4 linked regions of the Schizosaccharomyces pombe genome follow. The gene in region 1 interacts genetically with each later gene. Each region holds a gene or a part of one and is shown in the gene's direction. Other genes may lie near its edges. The genes, in order: irc6, tim13, ste6 and SPOM_SPBC651.04.

Evidence for each region.
Region 2: mutations in irc6 (region 1) and tim13 together harm fitness less than expected from each alone (positive genetic interaction), as found in Schizosaccharomyces pombe (one large-scale study listed by BioGRID).
Region 3: mutations in irc6 (region 1) and ste6 together harm fitness more than expected from each alone (negative genetic interaction), as found in Schizosaccharomyces pombe (one large-scale study listed by BioGRID).
Region 4: mutations in irc6 (region 1) and SPOM_SPBC651.04 together harm fitness more than expected from each alone (negative genetic interaction), as found in Schizosaccharomyces pombe (one large-scale study listed by BioGRID).

What each region holds. Positions count from the first base shown.
Region 1 is NC_003424.3:2,463,596-2,467,928, forward strand, and holds irc6 (recombination protein Irc6), read left to right. Parts: upstream 1-1,629; 5' UTR 1,630-1,752; coding exon 1,753-1,810; exon of another isoform or gene 1,811-1,850; coding exon 1,851-2,240; exon of another isoform or gene 2,241-2,282; coding exon 2,283-2,474; exon of another isoform or gene 2,475-2,517; coding exon 2,518-2,618; 3' UTR 2,619-2,899; coding exon of another isoform or gene 2,900-3,664; 3' UTR 3,665-3,833; downstream 3,834-4,333. Other genes in the region: mRNA-decapping complex catalytic subunit Dcp2, read right to left, coding at 1-1,356; SUMO-targeted ubiquitin-protein ligase subunit Rfp1, read right to left, coding at 2,900-3,664.
Region 2 is NC_003424.3:4,481,191-4,485,968, forward strand, and holds tim13 (TIM22 inner membrane protein import complex subunit Tim13), read left to right. Parts: upstream 1-2,800; 5' UTR 2,801-2,887; coding exon 2,888-3,004; intron 3,005-3,062; coding exon 3,063-3,131; intron 3,132-3,174; coding exon 3,175-3,276; 3' UTR 3,277-3,467; downstream 3,468-4,778. Other genes in the region: SPOM_SPAC17C9.11C (zf-C2H2 type zinc finger protein/UBA domain protein), read left to right, coding at 1-544, 703-740; G-protein-coupled receptor Stm1, read right to left, coding at 770-1,585; endodeoxyribonuclease Pnu1, read right to left, coding at 3,645-4,084, 4,160-4,406, 4,523-4,778. UniProt on the Schizosaccharomyces pombe protein: Mitochondrial intermembrane chaperone that participates in the import and insertion of some multi-pass transmembrane proteins into the mitochondrial inner membrane.
Region 3 is NC_003421.2:1,763,553-1,770,423, forward strand, and holds ste6 (RasGEF Ste6), read left to right. Parts: upstream 1-2,533; coding exon 2,534-5,269; 3' UTR 5,270-5,419; downstream 5,420-6,871. Other genes in the region: triacylglycerol lipase Ptl1, read right to left, coding at 1-1,486; ubiquitin-protein transferase inhibitor Glm2, read left to right, coding at 5,441-5,614, 5,672-6,871.
Region 4 is NC_003423.3:1,242,419-1,248,593, forward strand, and holds SPOM_SPBC651.04 (uncharacterized protein), read left to right. Parts: upstream 1-2,351; 5' UTR 2,352-2,428; coding exon 2,429-3,142; 3' UTR 3,143-3,683; coding exon of another isoform or gene 3,684-3,803; 3' UTR 3,804-3,861; coding exon of another isoform or gene 3,862-4,500; 3' UTR 4,501-4,736; downstream 4,737-6,175. Other genes in the region: GTPase-activating protein Gyp10, read right to left, coding at 1-527; ESCRT II complex subunit Dot2, read right to left, coding at 3,684-3,803, 3,862-4,500; protein mug166, read left to right, coding at 5,066-5,770.

The sequences.
Region 1 (4,333 bases):
TTGAGTCTGATGACCATTTACATAGGGAGAAGAAGATCCGTATGCTGGTTGCGGAGTTTTGCCTAAACCATAGGAACTAACGGAAGTCGAAGTGGGAGGATAAAAAACTTGATGATAAACAGTACTTGGCGAGGGCAATTCCATTGGAGAAGGCATGTCGCTAGCGGCAAATAAATGCTGAACAGAATTTTGGTCTTTAAGTAAATTTGAATACATACTCTGCTGAAAGTGATTATTCAACACAGGTTTATTAGTTAACATGTTGTTTTGAGAAACAACTCTTGGAAAAGAAGCAGATGGATTTTTTGGATCCAATCCAAGGTAAGCAAAAGGATCGAAACTGTTATTATCATGCGATAAACGAGAATTGCTGCTTTGAATGGGGGGATTAAGAGGAAGGTTCGACACAGGAGGAAGTTGAATTGGAGATTTAGGTTCATTTCCTTCATTTAATAAATGCAAGATTTTCTGTTTAATGTCAAAAGAAGAATGTGATTCAACTGGTGGCTGAGGAAAAGTTGAAGGTTGCGGAGTAGCAAGGTCTGAAGGTGCTGTCGAAGATTTCAAAAGAGAAAGCAGTTGGGAAGAAGCATCAGCATCAACATCAACGGAAATGTTCTTTTCTTTGGTAGTGTTATTGGCAATATTCCTCTTCTTAATCCATTTCTTCAATGGCGCCAAAAATGGGATTACCATGTAAAATTTGTTTTTCATGGTCTGAGGTTTATTTTTTTTGAATGTAGGAAGATCCATAAGATTATGCCATTCAATTTTACTAATTTCTTTTCTTGTACGAGATTCAAATCTTGTATCCAAAGATATTCCAGGAATAATATACAATCGAACGTTTTGTCCACGTATAGTCATATCAATAAATTCATTAGGATTTATACGGCTAGAACAGTCAAAGCCTGTTTCTTCATATACTTCACGAATAGCACAATCAACATCAGATTCATCTTTATCAATTTTTCCCTTAGGAAATCCCCAGCCGGATGATGCTTTCCATCCTTTGACAAGTACGCATTGCTGCATTGACATATCAAGCATTATAGCTCCGCGGACAGGAATACGAGTCTTATATCGTAAAAAATCATCAAACGCCTCTTCATGGACCTTACTCCACTTCCACAATAAAGGACAGTGAGCAAAAAGCTTTGCACTAAAAACACGCAAACCTAGTGATGGCAACTGATCGTTTTGCGCACGTATAAAATCTTCATAAAACCAATGAGCTTGTTCGATTTGAAAACAAAGTCGTTCAACGCTACTTTGCTCCTCTGCTGGTAAATTCAAGATAAATCTAGCTGATAAATCATCCAGCACTTGCGAAAACGTGGCATTTGTGAACGACATATTTCTTTTAATATATAGTAGTCTATTGTTTGCATTTAAAATTCTAAGTCACTCCAAAGCACGACAAATTCGTCAACTTTAATTTTTGTGCGTCTTGGTATTTAAAGCCATTTATGCGTGTGCGTATAACACAGAGTTAGGGACACGTAAAATTACGTACCAACCTTCGTTAGTGATAAACTAAACCATTATTGATTTAGGAATGTATCACACTGCGCTATACTATTGCTCAATCCTTGTTTCATTAAACTGTTAGACTGTAGTTAAAATCACAATTTGCCTTACCTTTAGGTCTTTCGAGAATTTATTTATCCACCAAAAACTTGTTTAATATTCTACAGAACTGATTGAAAATATAAAAAAGCGAATTAATTTTTGCTAAGTACATAAAATCATATGCGAGTTATTTTGGTTATAGGTCGCTCTAATTCTGGAAAGCTAGATTTTATTAAGGGTAAATATTAGTGTTCTATTTGCAATTACTAATTGAAAAGCTTTGACGGGTTCTTTACCGAAGGGGTTAGATGACGAGGCATTTAACAATGATCATTCTGGCTTGATTCATAAGTATAATATCAGAAATAAATATTTTGAAGCTTCGGTTGGTATTTGGATTGAAGAATATTCTAATTTAGCTGAAACTTTGGATGCTTATAGTTCTGAAGAAGCGAAGGAAGTTATTGATAGCTTAGGTGCCATTGTATATACTTTTCGAAGTTTTGATGAAGCTGAGTGGTCTCTTTTTAAAAATTTTATAGATAAACTACAGCTAGAGATTCCGGTAATTGGGTTGCACATGTCAGATGAAAAATTACTAGAACCACCTGATGTGTTTACCCCAGAATATATTTCTATCAGCGAGGAAGGAGTGAATGAATTCAATGGTAAAGTCAACCAATCTTCTATTTATTAACAAGTCTCTTTAGAGAAAGTAGGACTGGACCGTGTTCGAGAAATTCTCGATTGCTGCGAATGGAACTTGTCACAAGTTGATAAAAGTTTCTCGGAAGAAAAGGATGATGCCGGAGATTTCTATCTCCCGGAACGATTCAAAGGAAGTCCAGACATGCAATCGACGGATCTGGATAATTTGATGAAAGAAATGAACCAAATTAGAGGTTGGTAACTCCTTGAGTCGACTAAACTAACAACGAAATTTAGATGCTGACCTGGAAAAAAATGAGAAAAAGGCCAAGGCTTTAAATCTTTTAGAAAAATTGTTAGGCGATGAATTCGAGGAAAATGATTATGAATCGCTGTAGAAACAAGGCCTTTGTTCGTATCCGGAGAATACATGTTGTCGCTGGAGCACAAATTGATGTATAATAACTATTTGAGTTTGCAAGAAAGGTTCAATTAAGTTTTATCAAAGTATTTTTTACTAAAATCTAAATCTGCTGTATTGAAAGAGGACCTATTAGCAACTTAAAAAAAATTCGTAAGTAAAGCTCAGTCACAAATTGTGATAATTTTGGTCGTATTTCATTATTATAGACATTATAAATCCAACACAATGGACTACATTTTCAATGTACAAGGTTCGTCAATAAAATAATTCCCACATGGCATTTTTCGTATTTAAATAACGGCCACAGTCATTCACTAGACATTTTGACTGAGATCGTTTACTGGTTTTCAAAACTTTTGCACAAGAGCCACAATAGACGTGACCACACTTTGTTGCCCATAATGCAGATTTCTCTTTGCTTTTGGATGTTCCTAATGGTTCCTGACATCTTGGACAAACCATCAATGTATCATTGTTAAAGCTTCTAGTAAATCCAGATTTTGGAGGGCCTGGAGGCTTGTAAGACTGTTTTATATTTTCTAAAGAAGAAGTAAAATCATCATATGATTCTTCAAAATGGTTAGAGAAATATTCGTCGTCTGAACCGTTAGTCCATTCTGGATGTATAGCGTCAAATCTCATTCGGTTCACAATCAACTGGAAAAGAGAAGGGGATAAGGAATTAACAGAACTAAACTCAGGAAATGTCCTGGCAATCATTCCCATCAAATCTCGACGTGAAGAAGAACGACGAGTGGACACCTGAGGACCTAAGTAAATCATGTCTTCCAAATACGATAAATGATTTGAAGGAAAGTTACGAGACCGTTCATTCCTTCTCCGGTTCATACGCCTTCTTCGAGGACTTAGAACAGGAGATGATGGAAAGCTGTCATCAGGAATAGCATCCAAATCAATGATATTTGTTGAAGAAATAGAAGTTTCGACTGGTGGAGAAGGTGATCTCGTCAAATCAATTACACTGCTTTCATCTATTCCATTGCTTCCATTAAATTGCATTGATGTGTGAAAAAAGATACACAATTGTTTCCTGTCAAGTAATTGACAACGGGCAAAAAATTAAGTCGATTTATTTGTATATATTTTGGCCTTGCATATATTAACGAAACGGTATTATTTAATATAAAGCTCTAATGTATTGCTGTATATCAAAATACCGCAGACCAACAGTTCGGTGCATTTTTAAGGCAATGTCCAGTATGCTTTATTATTTATAAACTAATGGCTAGTAAAGAAACGTAAATTAGAAGTCGCATTTCTTTGTTTACACATTATCTTTATAAAAAGGAAATGACCTTATGTGATAATTTACTGAGAAGATCAAACGCCAAAGAAGATATGGCGAATAGAGGAATTTTACGAGCTTAATTTAGCAAGAAGAACCAAAAAAATATGCCTCTAGTAGACGATATGGATTTTTTATTAAAGCACAGAAAATGAATTTAAAATACTAGACGATATTTGATAGTACAATTGTTGAAGAATTAGGATTGTATTTATTAAATCCGCTAGATTCTGAAGTTAAACTTTCACAAATGAGTAATTGGAACATCAGCGCTTGAATATCAAGTTCCTGTCTTGAATTTTTTTGAGTATAAATATGATAAATCAAATAATGGATAACACTGCTTTTAGACCAGCATCAAAAGCGAGCGACATTAACAAAGA
Region 2 (4,778 bases), 2.0 Mb from region 1:
GCTATTGAAGCTTTAAGAGAGAAAGCAAAGGAGAAAAAGGAAAAAGAAAGGATTTTGGCTCTGGAAGAGAAGAAGACAAATTATAAAATCCTTCAAAAATCCAATGATGAAACTGCACAGGCTATGAGAAAGATGCAGGATCAAGCCCGCTTACGTGACTTGCAAAAGATCCGTCAACAAAAGGCTGAAGATGCTGAGCAGCGTAAGAAAATCCTCGCAGAAATTGAACGCGATAAAAAACGACGAGCTGCAGAACGGGAAAATAAGAATTCTTCTGTAAAAGAAACGGCTGCTCCCATCAAGCAGCCTAAAAATGCCAATTCGTCTTCTACTTGTACTCGCACCCCTCCTACATCAGGCAGATTTTCTATCCGACACGATGGTCAAGTTTGTAATATAACTATTGCAGCTGAGGAGACGCTACGCCAATTGGCACAACAGGTCGCTGAGAAAATGAACGTGTCACCGCCAACTAAGTTTACCACTACCTTTCCCCGTGCCTCATACGGCACTGATGTATTTGATAAACCGGTTAACCAACTTGGTAAGTATCAAACTAGTGTTTACTGTCATCATGTGTGACATTAGAATACATGTTTTTGAAAGAATATTGTGTTGCTACTAGCATCTAAACGACATATCTTTGTTTCCTCTGAAAACTTTGAACTATAGACATGGAATATATTATTAACGCTTGCATAGATTTGTTTCCCTCAGCCGTTCTTATTCCGCAATGGTAAAGTTATGACCTTTTGATAATTATGCTGTGTTAATAATGATTACGATACTTGATAAACTGGTAGAAGATATATATATCAAGGAAGATGGTGCTGAACGCGCCAAGTATCCAAGGCAGGTTAGCATATGTGTAGTTTAAGTAATCGGAGGCGGGAAATACGAGAATGCTGAAAGCGTATGAAGTGTTTCCTACAGAGGCCAACACAAAAAAGATAATGGATAATCCTTCGGTAGACTTTGCTTTGTGATTCTTGATGATTTGAGGAATACGAGCACAGAAGTATAACACAGAACTGATACAACCGGCAGTAAACGGCCATGCATTCAAGTCATCATCACTCTTGTCAGAAGAGGCACTAGAAATAATTAAGTTTCCAACGATTGTCGAGACAATAACCACACATCCCATTACACCAAATTGTTGACGGGTAGAAAGGCGATCCCACCAAATTTGTTGTTTACCAATGGGTGCATGAAGACCTTCTTCTAATGAACGACTTTGGAGTAAGGGTTCGTGTTCACGACTGGCAATACGACGGGCAGCTTTCCAACGATAGTAGTAAATTTGCATAAGTAGGGTACTGTCAGAGACAATGTAATAAAATGAGAGAACCAATACAGTAGAAGAGACATTTCCGTAAATGGAACCAAGTACATTGAAGAAATCGCCAATAAGCCAGATGATTAAAAATAAATCAGAGATACTTTCACCAGACTGGTTTTTATAATTTTCAAGTAATTGAGGGATCAGTAAAACGACCCAACATCCCAGGGATAATGCTCCTAAAAATGAAGACAACTCCGTGAGTATGTTAGCCATATCAAAAGAAGGAGCTATCACAGACATGGGACAAAAATGCTTGCGAACAGATAATTTTAAAATGAATTTGAGAAGAGCTTGTCTAAGCTTTTTATGGTCAAAGTTTTTTATATGAGTGTGGAGGACAATAAATAAAAAGAACGGGAAACAAAGGGCTACAAAAGCGAAGCAACCTGAAAGGGAAATCAAACTATTAATTTAATAGGAATGATAAGCAATTATTAAAATTTGTCAACTTCCTCGAACGTGTAATGCTTCAGCACTATAATATTCGCTGATTTATTTTAGCGATCCAAGAGATGATACTTAATGAAAATTCGTTACAAGTATTTTTTTTTGTTTTAAAAAATAAACACTAAAAGGAATATCTATAATAATAATAATAACAATGGTAAACAATATTTCTCCCACTGTAAAGAAACAGAAGAGATTTGGTGGTGAGTTTGGCTCTGGATAAGATCAACCTCCCAGCCGTCCTGTTATTTATTTACCTCGGGCAAGGCTATATAGAGATTTCAAGATAAGAAAAATTTGCCGCCCATGCAGTTTCGCAGAATTAAGAAAGTGTCCGTGGATTTACAGATACAATTGATAGTCAATCCAAAGGTATCATTCTAAAGAAATATAAAGGAATAGTAAGCGAAATAGATTTTCCTTCGAATAATCCTATTTCACTTAACAATATAATTCTCAATGTAAATAACAGTCGCATTAATTTTATCAATGTCAAGCTAACTCGTTTTTGTTATAAAATTTAATACACCATAATATCGCTAGCAGTATTAAACATTGAAATGTTTACGTGACTTGTTTGATTCTCAGATTATTTGCAGTAAAAGATGTGCTAATTCCATGATTTAATTTCGAGACTATAAAACTCTATAAAAATTTCTTACAAATTGGGATTTTTATTTTTTTTTCTAAACAAGGGTAATGAAAAGTCATGAACGATTCATTTCGTATATTAAAATATTAAAAATAATAATAATAAAAAAACGCTGAAAAAACTTTTATTTCTAAACTCACCAAAAGGACCCGAATAGTATATCTATCCATTAGTTTAGAAATATTTTATTAAATCTTTTTTTTTTATACCAAGTAGAAAACAAAACAAAGATTGCTGTCTGGTTGTATCGCATATGTCAGCATATTAGAAAATCCATTTTCTATTAACGAAGTCTAATTGGTGATGATGGCCGGTTTCTGAATTAGTCTCCCTAAGTACACCGTTTGGTACTTTCCACGAACGTACCATTTCCTCATTAATTTTCCTTGTAAAGGAGTAAAAATTATCCACATTCATAAGTTTTAACGTTATACTTAAACAAAATGGGCATTTTCGGTGGAAATAGTGGAAATGCACCTTCTTCTGAAGACAAAAAATCCATTTTCATGAAACAAATTCGTCAGGAACTTGCTGTTGCTCAAGCTGGCGAATTGATAAGTGTATGCTCCATTCATTTTTTATGTTTTATTGAATGTTTTAACTAATCGGTTTATCTAGAAAATCAATGAGAACTGTTTTGATAAATGTATCCCGGAGCCTGGTTCCACATTCGATCCCAATGAAAAGGTATGAGAACTATTAAAATACTTTTATTCTAACTAGACAAAAGTCTTGCGTTTCCAAATGTATGGAACGCTATATGGATGCTTGGAACATTGTTTCTCGAACCTATATCTCTCGTATGCAACGAGAGCAGAAAAATCTCAACTGAATAATAATGATTTTTTTTTCTATCATTTTGTTTTACTCTCCTATGATATGTGTCTTGTTGTATAGTTGTGAAGTGACGGCAAAGCTTAATATGCAACGTAGAAATTTTTCTTTTCAACGTAGCTCACGCGCTTTCTCTCTAATAATTATAAACTTTCAGCAATTAAAATTCGTTTCATGTTCTTTTCCTAATCATGCTAAACACTTACAAGTGTTGTTATACTACTGGGTAAAATACTTATAATTGTTTCTTTGACATGTAGCATTTAAGTATTATTGTGTAAATAACAGTTTAAATATTTTCATAATAAAGAACGATCACCGGAAAAACTAGAAAAACTAGAGATTCATTAAATTTCCTTATTCTTATCATTTACCTTGATTCTTTTGTTTTTGTTTAACTGATTCAACAAACTCCTTAACATTTAACTGACACACCACTTCACTGCAAAGTTGTTTTCGGTTACCCTTGGGTACGTTTGATAAGATCTCTAATCCGCTTGCTCGTTCCACAACCTCAACGGGAACTGCAAAGTTCTTTAACGGAAAGTTGTCAGCAATAGGTTTGTTGGGAAGAACGAATGCAGCTACTGATGGACTTGAGGTAGGCTCTCCTGATTTTTCTGCAATGATTACTTTAAAAAAATGAGTAGGAACTGCGACGTTGGGAGGATTGCCAATTACTCGATACTGAACTTCCCATTGTCCACGTTCATTTTTTTTAGGTAAATACAGCGGTCCCGTCATTATGGTAACTGAGCCGTATTTACTTGTAAGGCGTCGACACCAATCTTCAAAGTATGCCCAATCTAATTGTTATAGTTAGTAACTAGTCAAATTTATTAATGTATTAAAAGAAAAAGTCTCGTTAAGTTTTTGCTTACAGTTTCTATTGAAACCATCTCCCACTTGTGGACACATATTAGAAAGATAGAAAGTTTCGTTCATTGCTTCCTGACTAAATTTACAATCTGCTGCAGGTACTTGATGACCACGATCATAACCGCTTCCTCTGTAATCTCCTAACTTTGCTTGAAACATTTCAGGAATATTATCATCTGGAACGAACTCAGAGTACCTGCGATTGCCTTTGCGTTGGTTCAACGATTCTTGTGTAATGGTTTCCGCTGTCTAGTTTATTATTAATATAATGCACTCCGAGAGACCAGAAATTTAAACATTTAATCTATTGCCGTGATCTATAATTCCTAGGTAAAGAAAGCTTAGGAAACGGTGTTTTTGCTTACATAGAATGGATTTCGTGTTCTCCGATCGAACACAGACATATAGCCATGGTTTACCCTTTGGTCTGCCACTGGTCCTGGTATGCCGTATTGAAAAAATTTGGTGGCATTAAAATCATATATAGATTCTAAGGCTCGACCAGCAGAGTCAAATTTGGTATACCTGGGTGTCAAGTCTGGTACATCGGATCCTTGATATCCTTTATAATAAAAATGCGTGAAAGTTACACCCGAGATCGCTCCAATTGCTATTAATCCA
Region 3 (6,871 bases), on another chromosome or scaffold:
GAACTTGTAAAAGTGGTATAGCTTGCCATGTGGCCCTTTCACCTACTAGAATCCAATACTGGATGTCGCTTAATGAGGGCTTGGTAAATGCATGCTTTATGTCCGAGAAAGAAAATGTTGGAGTAAGCGTGATATACGCACTTGGAACATAATCGTCAACAAAAAATCGACGTAGTCTTGGAGGTAGAAGACCCAAAATATCCAGTTGGCGGAAACGGTAAGCCATTTCTAATCCTACTAAGCGTATCATTTTTAAGGAGTATCCTGAAACACGATGATGATGAAGTTCATCATAAAATGTAGGGAACAACGAAGGGCGAGACTGGGTAATAACAAAATGATTCACGTTGAAAATCTCAGAGATTCGTGCATAAGGATTAGAGCGACCGGTATTAGGAAGCCCAGCATACGGCCAAATAAAATTTTTGGGAGTACACACCTCGGTAGACCCATCGGGAAGTTTAGCCAAAAGAGGAGAAGAGCGGTAAATGGCAGCCCAGCTATTGCTAGAACATACGGCACTCCAGATCAGCACATTAGGGGCAGTGAAATAATTAAGAACCTGAGGGGATCCAGAAACAGCTGAAGGTGGAGCAACGATGTTAACAATACGTCCAGTACGCTCAAAAGCCTCTTGAAAGGTAATAGTACCGAGTCTTTGACGGACAAAAGATGCTATCATGGAAATGTCAAGCATATTCCCATACTCCACAACTTTTGAAAGAGAATAGTCAGATGTTTGCTGACATATTTTCCACAGTTCGCTGGGGAAAGTATCAAACAAACCATTCAATTCTTCATCACGATAGACACTCAAAAGCGATGCAATCAACGCACCTGATGCGCATCCTGCAAGGATTTGAGGAAGCAAATTACGTTTCCAAAGGGTCTTAGCTACCCCAAAGTGATATAGACCAAACGCAGTGCCGCCGTTGAAATACAAACAGGTAGTACCGAAGGAAATTCGGGCAGCGGAAAAAAAATCGCACTTAACGTCGTAGGAAAGCCTTTTAGTGTGATATAAAAACTCTAAACAATTGTTGACCTCACGTACATACTCTTCAATCAAAATTTTTGTACCCGAGTAATTCTCGGTATACAGAGAGGAATTGCCAATGTTGCCAAAGTTACGAAGTAAGCTAGAGCGCAAGAACATTAACATGGGATAGACAGATTTCCTCTGGCGGTATCGTTTTAAGGAGACCGTGCATCGATCAATCAATAGATAGTCGTACTTGTCCGAGGCAGGAGTAAAGCGCCATTTCCAACGCCCCGACGCCTTGTCAATCGTCGTAGCCAAAACTTTCCAATCCTCCCAAGAACGACAATCCTTGTTCATAACTACCTTTCCCTTTCGAGGGCCGGAACCACGCTGCTGCGATATCGACGTAGCGGAAAATAACCATTCAAAAAATGAAACCACCAGTAGCCAAATGGACGAAATATTCGCATACATAATGCGCCAGAAATTAAATAGTGCAGTCATATTAGGCAAACAATGGTAAATTCACAAATTACAATACAATTTCCAATCTTTTCTAATTTTACGTAACAAGTCTCAACAGGACCTATGGATAGAGTTATCCTTTAATTTTTGTAAGTTCCAACTAAAATCCGCTTCAAACACTTCATGAACTACTACAATATCTTTTATAATTGGAGAATTCCACCTAACAGCTCAATTCATAGAACTAGCTCAATTGAAGCTGGTTAATGGCAATTGGCACGATTACATCCGTGGGAAAAAACATTTGTTGAACTTGTCGGTGAATTCGGTGAACCCTATGTCATGGGCAGTTTATAGGTGGGCATGATGTGTATAGCGTATTAAATTGCCGTATTATATTGGTACTATAACGAAATAATTGCAATACACTATAATAAAGTGGAGTCGACTATCATGACATACGGTATTTAAATATAGCGATACATAAAATTTTTTTGCGTATTTTTACTGCCTAAAATGAATCGGTCAAGGATAGTCGCAAAAGCTTTTAAATTCACTGGTCTATTCCTTTAACAATAGTCATCAAGTTTGGATCAATAGAAAAGAATTCAACTTTTTTTTTTAGAAAAACGCTACCAGAAGGACAATCTGTTTTATTTTTCAGGAAGAACATTTTTCTTTCTGTATTTATTGAATAGCGAAGGATAGGGTTGAATAGTGAAAACAACGAAGTATTACTGTATTGCGGAATAGTCGCATACCCACAGGTTTTAGGTGAGTCCATTGTGAAAGTGATTGACAACATAGTCTAGTGAAATACTGTATGTAATATTACAGTTGCGTAGTGACAAAACGCGACGCGCCAAATTCACAGGTAATTTCTATTGTAGTAGCCCATTGTTAGTAAACAAAGAAATTCCCAAAATGGCTAATAATGGGAAAACAAGCTTTTTTTTTAAATAAACGGGTGTTTTCTTTATTTTAAAAGCAGGAAAATACTGAAATAACTTAAGAAGGTATATTTCCTCTTTTCTTTCAAAAATAAATGAATCGTGGAATTGATAGCATTCATGGACCCTTACGAAAATGAGGTTTCAAACGACCGCAATAAGTGATTATGAGAACAGCTCTAATCCTTCATTTTTAAAATTTTCTGCAGGAGACACTATCATAGTTATAGAAGTGCTCGAGGACGGTTGGTGCGACGGAATTTGCTCAGAAAAACGAGGTTGGTTCCCCACGTCGTGCATTGATTCTTCAAAAATTCAAAATTTTTTTTCAAGTTTTCATTCATCGAATGAGAAAGACCCAAATGCTCAATGTTGTGCGCCGTTTCACGTAGAGGCTCATCTTCAAGATTCTGCATGGTTTGAGAAACACGGAGTGCAAGCGATAAATAGTATCCCTTCTTCAGAAGAGTTCTTAAGAAAAAATCTTCAAAATGACATTCACCACCTTGTAAAAGGGATTCTCACCACCGCTGCCGCTGTGTCACAATCTATAAAAAAGGAAGGCACTCAAGTGATCGTTTTTGGAATTGAAACTGTTCGTAGTATGGTTCTTTCATTTCCCTTGATAATCCTTTCTACATTAGATGAAAATTTTCTCTCAGAAGTCGCGCAAGTGTTCTCCTCATTAAATTTATTGCCAGAGTTGAGCCGAATGGGTTGCACTTATGGTGAACTTTGCATCAGATTTACTAAGCTTTTGAAGCAATTGGCTAATAAGTTTTTGTTTTTCTTCAGGCCCGATGTTTCCTTCCCTTCTTACTTTTTGGGCTCTTTGATAGCGCATGAAATACATTTCTTGCCATGGGATTTTAATATGCTCTGTTCCAATTCTGTACAATCAGCACATACAAATCTCCAACCTGATATTACTTCCTTTGTTGCAATTTTGTCACTTTCACACGAAGCTTACCATTGCACTGAGAATGAATTTTGGAATTTAGAAGCACAGAAGCTAACTGAAAATACAACCCAAAAAGTACTACAGCTAGTTGCGGAAGATGCACTAGAAGCTTGGAAACTAGATATTCTAGAGGACATCGATAGATGCATTCAATGTTGTAGGCGATTCTTGTCTGCAAATCAAAGAATAAATTATTCTTCCTCTGAAAATAACCCTTTTTCTTTCACTTCTCAAGATGTTGAAGCCTTGAAGGATGAACTGTCTTCTAACTTATGTGATTTATATTTGTGGAGTATCGACTTGGAGCAAATCTCACCTAGCGATTGTTTACTGGACAATTATTCCCTTTTTGTTGATTTACTAGTAACCTTGAAAGTATCCCTTCTTCGGATCAAGTCAATAATTGTTCAATTTTCAGAAAGAATTGTGTTTCTTTCTCTAGAATACAAATTCCTCACAAATATCCAACCAGAATTGAATGATGCGGAGAAGTCCCAACTTGATGGTTTTGACCTCAATAAAACCAACTGGTTCGACTCTAAAGGATTAGTTTGTTATTTAATGAAACAGACTTCACCAGAGCCATTATTGATCCGAAACCTTTTGTTTTCATTTTGGTCATGTAATGGTAAAATTGAACAAGATGGAAAAATAAAAACAGCCACTTTAGTGTTCATTATAAATTACCTTCTAAGGACAGATATAGATAGTACATTTTTTACTACTATCTTTTTAAACACATACGCTAGTATGATCAGTTCTTCAGATTTATTTTCCATACTTGGAGCACATTTTCGGTTCATCTGCTCATTAAATTTTGGAAAAATTTCTTTTATTTCTCACGAATTTTACCGAGTTAGTAAGAGGTTTTTGGATATACTTCTTATTTGGTTCGAATCGTATCTTGTTGAAGAGTTGGACAATTCCAAGTCAATATTCTTTTTGTTTAAAATTTATAAAGTTTTTGAAGTCTTTGTAGTTCCACATTTTGCATCTGCTGAAGAATTATTGCATTCTTTATCACACCTACTTCATCATCCCTCTACAAAAAGATCACATAAAATGCTAGAGGGAAAAGAGCTATCCCAAGAATTAGAGGATCTTTCTCTCCATAATTCCCCTGATCCAATTATATATAAGGATGAATTGGTTTTACTTCTACCTCCTCGTGAAATTGCAAAGCAGTTATGTATCTTAGAGTTTCAATCATTTTCACACATATCAAGGATTCAGTTCCTAACTAAAATCTGGGACAATCTTAACAGATTCTCACCCAAAGAAAAAACTTCGACCTTTTATTTGTCGAATCATCTGGTTAACTTTGTGACCGAAACCATCGTGCAAGAAGAAGAACCTCGCAGACGTACCAATGTGCTAGCATATTTTATTCAGGTCTGTGATTATTTGAGAGAGCTTAACAATTTTGCTAGTTTATTTTCCATCATTTCTGCGTTAAATTCCTCACCCATTCATCGGCTGCGTAAGACATGGGCAAATTTGAATAGTAAAACATTGGCTAGTTTTGAGCTTCTAAACAATTTGACAGAGGCAAGGAAAAATTTCAGTAATTATAGAGATTGTCTGGAGAACTGTGTCTTGCCATGTGTCCCTTTCTTAGGTGTTTACTTCACTGATCTGACTTTCCTTAAAACTGGAAATAAAGATAACTTTCAAAACATGATCAATTTCGATAAGCGCACCAAAGTCACTAGAATTTTGAATGAGATAAAAAAGTTTCAATCTGTTGGGTACATGTTTAATCCCATCAACGAAGTTCAAGAGCTTCTTAATGAAGTTATATCGAGAGAGCGAAACACGAATAACATCTATCAAAGAAGTTTAACTGTAGAACCACGTGAATCTGAAGATCAAGCCTTACAACGCTTGCTAATTGATTCTGGCATTTTTTGAAGCGTGAACGTTAACAGTGATTTAAGTTTTTATGAGCTTGCTTCGAATTCCTTTAATATTTTCAAATCTTTTGTAGAACAATATAATCTTAAAATCATTTAATTCTGATATAGTCTGCCTCGTAAATTATCTTTCGTCCGTTTACCTCACACCTTAATATTCATAAGAAGAATGGACTGGAAAGAAGCGATTCCAGGTGCCGCCAAGGTAGCCATTGAAACCAAAGATTATATTACCTACTCAACGCTACTCGAATTGATATTGGAAGAAGCGCGAATAAAGGATATTGATGAGCAGCGAGAGTTGATTAAGTGTCTACATGAAGAATTGAAGCAAGAAAAGAATGTAAGTAAAAATATTCATGTAATTAAATATGAATTCTCCTAATAATGTTGCAATTAGGACCATATAACACGCGAAATTTCCTGGGACATTATAGGAATGGTGCTTCCATATGTTGGGAAAGTACAAAATGAGGCCGATGAGTTTGTGGACTTCTTAGCCAAAAACGGAAATCCAAGAGAGGTGTTCCTTAAATGTTGTGAACTTTTGATAAATGGAGGCTTTGAAAGTCCCCAACAATTCATATCTCTGAACAGTGCCATTTTATCAGCCTTACACCGTATATCTACAAAGCGACCAGTTCTATTTGTAAATAATTTTTTAATTTCATTGTTTTCGGGGTTAGCAAATATTTTGCAAATTGATAGCGATGAACTGTATTGTGTTTGGAAAATCTCAATATCATCTATACAAGATGCAATGCATCGCTTTCCAGTGTCAGAGTGTTATTTGGCATGTTTAAAGGCTTGCAGTATTTTAGCTCAACTCTTTTTAAGTAAAGAAACATTGATGCTTTCTTTCCGTTCGCTGCTTCAAACAAAAGATCAGTATGCAGAGTTTCGTGAAGAACTAAGTGGCGCTACGACTAATTGTGACAAGTTGGATACCCTTTCAAAATCCATAATAAACATCTTCGATTATCTTTTGTCCCATCTTCCAGAGAGCTGGAGTATCATTACTGAGCACATGGCTCAGGAGCTGACAAAAGCTACATATGTAAGTCAGTCATCCTCTATTTCCTCAGAAGACGAAGAAATAGCCAAAAATGCTGATGTTCCTGCTGAAGTTGATAACAATTCTACTAAGGCTGATGATAAGCGGGATGAAATTGAATTTGACACGAAAGGATGTCTTGCTTTATTAACAATTAAATCGTTCTATCAAAGCGGAAACTTCTTTCTGGATTTTTTGAAAGAAAAATTTCCCTCTACTATCCTTGAAACTTTGCAGCAATTGGTCTCTTGGGAGATTCAATTGGATAGTGTTGGTTTCAAAGATATTGCTGTGTATCAAGGATATTTGTTGGATTTACCTCATTTCCAGGTTCCCGACTCCGAACTCGAGCATCTCTCCAGTTTGCTCCATGGATATCATTTTATGGCTTCTTCGACAGAACTTCCTTGGCTGCGTGTTACATGCAATGCTATAGTCACAAAATGTCTGGATTCTCAGTTACCAAGTGTCCGTCTTTCCTACATACTTGATACTTTGGAAGAATGCCCACTGTTAAATATAAAAACTGCTATCCTAAATTATTAT
Region 4 (6,175 bases), on another chromosome or scaffold:
GTGGGATCGCGAGCCTTGATAACTGCTAAAATTAGCTGCAATTGTTTCACCGTGCCATCAAGGGTAGGAAGCATAAAGTCCCGAAGACGGTAAAATACTAGATGCTCCATTAAAGGGAGAGCATGAGAGAAAGGAAGGGTAAGAAGCAAGATCTGGGCAATATCATGAAGACCTTGATAGTAGCATAGTTCCGGATAATGCTTAAAGACTACACTGAGCAGCTTGGTCAATTGAGAACGGTGTTTACGAAGTAGAAATGGATTCAACTTGTACTGAAAGAATGATCGTTCCGAATCCAAATGAACCTGATTCTGGTCGGCATAAGAAGACTGAGAAGTAGATCTCGAAAGACACTCCATTCGATGTCGACACGATAAACCACAAAGACTGACCCATACAGACTTGCGCAGACTCTTCATGAGGAAGCCATGTCCTTCTTTGCCAATGTGGGAAAGTGTTTCGACATCAGAGTTCAATAATGCAATTTTGATTTCATTTTTTAGTTGTTTTATCTCCTTCTTCTTCATCTCATGAGCGAAATCGCCACTTCCCTTAAGGGAGAAATATTTGAAGAAGAATATTTTTGAAATTTTGAACTGAAAACTAAATCACACTTTGCTTAGGAATCCTGAAATCCTTTAATCTCAGGCCTTTACTTTTTCATAAATAGCTAAATTTTTCTTTAATAAAATATCTCGTTTGGCATCTAAAACACCGTTTTATAAAGGATCAAAAAAGTTGGGCGCAGTTAGTGGTCTGTGGGTTGATGTACGTACCCACTTAAATGGGAAAAAAAAAATCAGAAGATGAAAAGGAACACAATGAACAACTGCGCCGAACACCCTCTCGACAACCTTAATAAAAGAAGATCTTTAACAACTTTAAAAAGAAAGAAAGAAAGTAAATTTAAAATTTTATAAAAATTCTTAAACGAAGCATTTTTACGGTTTTTTTTTTTTTTTCGAATATCGTTAGTATTATTACTATACCATCTCCTTATGAAATTTTTTTTTGCTAGTTAATATATGATGGCGAAGTAAAGTAGAAGGGCTTTTATAAATAGCTGTAAAGTTCAACAGCATGTGTGTCAACTCATAAGGAGAGACTTCCATCAAATCAAACAAGAAGAACTTTCTTTATTTCTTCTCTTTTCTTCTTTTCTTTTTTTCAAATTAAGGAAAGAATATCAGTATGCACTGCCGAAATCGTTATGTTACTATTAGATGGTGGATTGTACAAATAATAAAATTAATATCCGTATGAATATTTGACAAATGAAACAGTTCCCTGCTGTAGATCCTGCGGGTTTGTTTAGCTGTCATTGTAAAACGATTGCGGATAAATCTTCTTTACTTTCCCACCAAATAATGCTATATCCAAAGTATCAAAAGTTTTGTGCGGGTAAGTCGTTAAAATAACACCATTCCTCCAAAAAAATAAATAAATATAATATAAAAAATAAAACGAACCCCTTCAAACGAGGGAGAATACTCTCCTGAAGATGAACGAATTTTGAAAAATTTTTCTTATTTTTTAATTAAAATCTATTTAATGGTATTTGCTGAAAACTCGATTTGACCCCAAGCAAATGTTGAGACATTCATGTAAAAGAAATTATTACGAAAAAGAAAAAAATAAGCGATGACTTAAAACCATCAGTAATGAATCCACATGTTAAAGTAGCGAATACTTAAGCTTGATAAAAAGAATACCTAATTCTAATATAATCCTAGTAGGAAATATTAATATAAATTTTTGAGGTGGCTCTTTTATTGAAGTATCGCTTCATTTTGTATTAGTTAAAATAGGCAATACATCAATCTATTTAGCTTTTAGATTAAAACTACATATTGTTATATTTCAAAAATCCGTGCTTAATTCAGTTGGGCTTACTATAATATTAAACAGATAGTTTCTGGATTTATTTTGAGTGGAATGGCTTGTTTCAGATAGAAAGGATATGATTTGAGAAGTGTGAAGTTAAGAATTTACTGCTTTTGTCTTAAAAAGCATACTCAAACTTGCTGAAACATATTTAGGTCTGTATTCATGATGAATCTTAGTTTTCCCAATTTATTTCTCATCATCTACCAGCTAAACCCAGCAATCTGAGTGAAAAGGTATCTTCATTAAAAACCTATAATCGTGAAAATCATATTGGAATGTTCTAACATTTATCAAACAACATCCTTTCTGTTTACAGCGAGGTTTCTTGTGTTGATTTTGCTACTTTAGATAAGTCAGATCAAGGTAACATATTTGTGGGTCAGCGATCTGATAACTACAGATGGCTGGTATTCGAATTTTCGTTTGGATTAGCAAATTTGCTGCTTAGACCTATCTTTCCTCTTACCGCCTCTCCGTATACATTGTACATCCCATCTTTCATCGAAAGCTTTTGAGTATATAGACAGGCAAAGAGCTTTGAATGAGTTCCGCTGAACTCGGAAAGCTACATATTTATGCCTCTCCTGAACAATGGGAGAAGTGGAGTCCCCGTTGGAAAAGTATCGTTTTTCGAACGCAATATGAATCGATTTTCAAAAATCCGAAACACCATGGGGAGAAAAAACCTTTTCATTGCCTCTTCAAACTCGCTGGAACTATGAAGAGTATCTCTTTATCGCATTTGGATATTCCAGAGCATCGCATGAGCAATGCAGTAGCTTTTCCTATCACTACTTCTACAACCCCTATGCAATTAGATGTCACCTTACAATTTCGTGGGCACAAAATTCCTCTTGTAGTCGGAGAAGCTAGTGTTTCCTTGGAAGATATTTTCACTCATGGAACTGTTGAAAGCGTAATACCTTTATTTATGAAAAAAAGGCATCCCGAGGCATATCTTAGGATCAAACTCGTTTATACGAGGAGTAAAAGAAAGAGCGCCAGGAAACACAAAGTTCCTTCTTCCTTTCATCGATTTTCTGGTCGACGTGGTCTTGGTATACATTACAACCATTCTGGTTCTCAGAGCAGCTTAATAACTTTACCTTTACCTCAAAAGCAGCCTGATTTTTTACGTATGAATAACGATACTAATGAGCTAAAAACAAATGGGTTTGAGCCTATTCGGTTTGTATTTACCACTACTCCTTATTCACCTGCTTCCTTTGAGGTACCAAAGACCCTTAAAACTTAAAAAATGATTGTTTTCTTCCAAGGAATTTCCCTTACTAATTAATTTTGTTTCCATTTTCCAAGGTCCATACAACTTTGCGTCTTGCTGTTTAATATGACCTCCGATTCTATTCTATTTTATTATATTATTATTATTCTTAAATTATTGTTGTGTTGTTTATCACTACTTCCCGTTATTTCGAGCTCTTCTCTTCTTCTTCTCCTTCTTATACCTGTACATATTATCTTTTCCAGTTTCATACTTTATGTCTCTCCTTTTTTCGGTTTTCGTGCTTCAGTTTCTTTTACTTCTTAATTCTTCTAAACCCAAACTTTTTTCTCAAACATATATACATATATATATATATTACATATTACGTTTTCTTCATCGAATTCAAAGTTTTATTCTTCATTAGTTTGACTTTTATCACAGCGTTACTAGATGCTTTTACGAATTAATATATAGACTGGCAAAATTAAGCGTAGGGTTGACTATCTATGAACGGTTGTAAACAAGCAGGTCAACCTCCCCCAAAATTCTAGGTAGTCTTGATAAAAAGGCATTAGAAATTTTCGTATAAAAACCTTTGCGCCTGGTCGTCGATAAGATTGCTTGCACCCCAATAGGCCATCTCCACCCCCTGGGAGTCAATCCAGAGTAATGATTTTGAAACTAAATCATTCTAAATTATTTGGTTAGTCGCAAATGTTTTGAGATATTTTTATAATTTAACTGCGTACCAATACTTGAATGCATCTGCTACGCTCCCAAGCGTAATTGTCCCGTAAAATAGATATTGTTACATAGCCCAATATCTCTACAGCCTCTAAAACAACATTTTGGTCGGTGTTGAGCTCTAAAGGAAGGGACCGGATATACTGTTTACCTGCAATTTTTTCAAGAACAAAGCCAGGGCCAAGTGGGGCCAAACTATCGACAGCTCGAACAACGTCAGTCTCTCTTAACCATTCATGACCAAAGGCTTCATTTTCTTCATTTAAAAAACGACAAACTTGGCTGACCGATAAGAGGCCTCCATTCTCCATTTGAGTAGCATAACAGACTTCGATTACTCGTACAGCGACCTGATAATAGAATTCGTTCATGCCCACGGCCGCCCAAGCTGACTCATCAGAACCACTAACAAATGGATCTAAACCAATTTTCAAAGCTAACTTAACAAATGTATTTCGAAATTGAGAGTTTTGTTTTATCTCAGTGGCATGTTCTCTCGCAAACGTCTTCAGCGCTTCCTGAAACGTCGAGAGTTGAGATGCAATTTCATCGGACTGCTGTTCAATAAGTTCATTTCCTACTTCTTCATACTGTTTTAGATATTCATCGTCGTTCAAAGCTCCAATTCCAATTCTTTTACGCATCGGCCCAACCGAACATTGCTTGTTTCAAGCGCACAATCTTTATGATCGAGGCTTTTAATTAACAAGTAATTTCGAAAAAATATCAACAACAACGTAATTGACCAGTTTCTACAATTATTCGCGAATAATAGTCCTCTTCCAAGATCACAGGAGTTGTGTAGAAGAGCAATAACAACCTGCTTAGGAGAATAAACCATCCATTAATTATAACAATAGTAAACTAACTAGCTCATGAAAAGAATGTAACTAACAGGAGCGTTACATTTCATTATCTAGTATACCAAGTTATTTCCTGCTATATTAGTAAACTATCTTAAATTAGAATATCGTATAGCAGCGCATATTCAGTTTTTTAACGCACTTAACTGGACTTCCTTATAAAGTTGTTTATCACATTGTTTAGCTGCGGTATTTTCTTGATTATAGACTGGTACCACCACCAATAGTGACTAAGTGTAGGCCAGAGATTATTTGGTGCTAAAACCAACTACTTCTTGGGACTCTGCGAGGCTCGAGTAATTTCAATCGTTTTTTTTTATTTACTCACATTCAGGGTGCTTTGAAGATGCCAAGGAGAGCTGTACTTTTCCGTGGCAATTCATTCATTTCGTTTTCGTCAATTTCCTCAGGAAACGAGAGTAGCGCCCATGGGGATGCTTCACTTGGACAAGCAGATAAACCCTTAACTGTCGACGTTTTAGATGCTTGGACCACTCAATTCACAAAAAAGCAGACCAGGGTCTTTCATGAGGCATATGTAAGCGCTTATATCGATTTGCAACAAAAATACGCTCGACTTGAACGACTTCAGGAGCAGATCCTTAATTTGGAAAGATCGCTGTTAAATTATAAATCTTTAAAAAGTAACTCTACCACAACGGTGGCGACAGTTCCCTCCGAAAAACGATATTTCTTCCGCCGCAAACCAAAAACTTCTTCAACTACTAATTCTCTCTCTTCTTCTTCTTCTAGTGTCTCGCATATGAATCAAGATGCTAACCCCAATAGCACCGTATTGACCTTTACTGCTGTTCCTTACGATTCTTGTTTACCTGCACCAGACCGACACACTCCCTCTAGTGCATCGTCTAGGGCGAGTGAAACGGGTACCACAAGCCCACAAAGTATGAGGAACCAAATTAGCCTTCTTTACTCAAAAGTCGATCAAGTCAAAACTGAAATTGCTTCGGCACAAGCTGTTATGCATGATTTGTTGCGCACTTATCCTGGCAGTGAAAGTTTGCAACAATCTACTCATACTCAATTTTGATGCCCCTACACAAACAAAAACTCTCTCTATTTTTAGTTTTCTGTTTTATCTGCGTTTTCTCTTGAAATGAATATTTTTTGTTAAGTTGTATTTTAGAGAATTCGATTATCGATGGATGTCCATTGATGAATCGATCGAAAGAGTCCCATGAGACTTTTTCTTTAATTGTTTTACCCTTTAATAACTTGGAAGCATTCACCAATATATATTTGTTATCGTCTTTTCCATCGAATCTTCTGTAATTCACCTCTTTACCTTTTTCCAGCAAGCCTTGAACTTTCGTTACTTGGGTCGTTACTTTATACTGATGTCCTCTAAATTAATTTCGATCCACTTACTTCCCCATCTCTTTCAACATTTACACTTTCTGACTATAGTAAGTGTTTAATTGTAAAAGAGGTTACT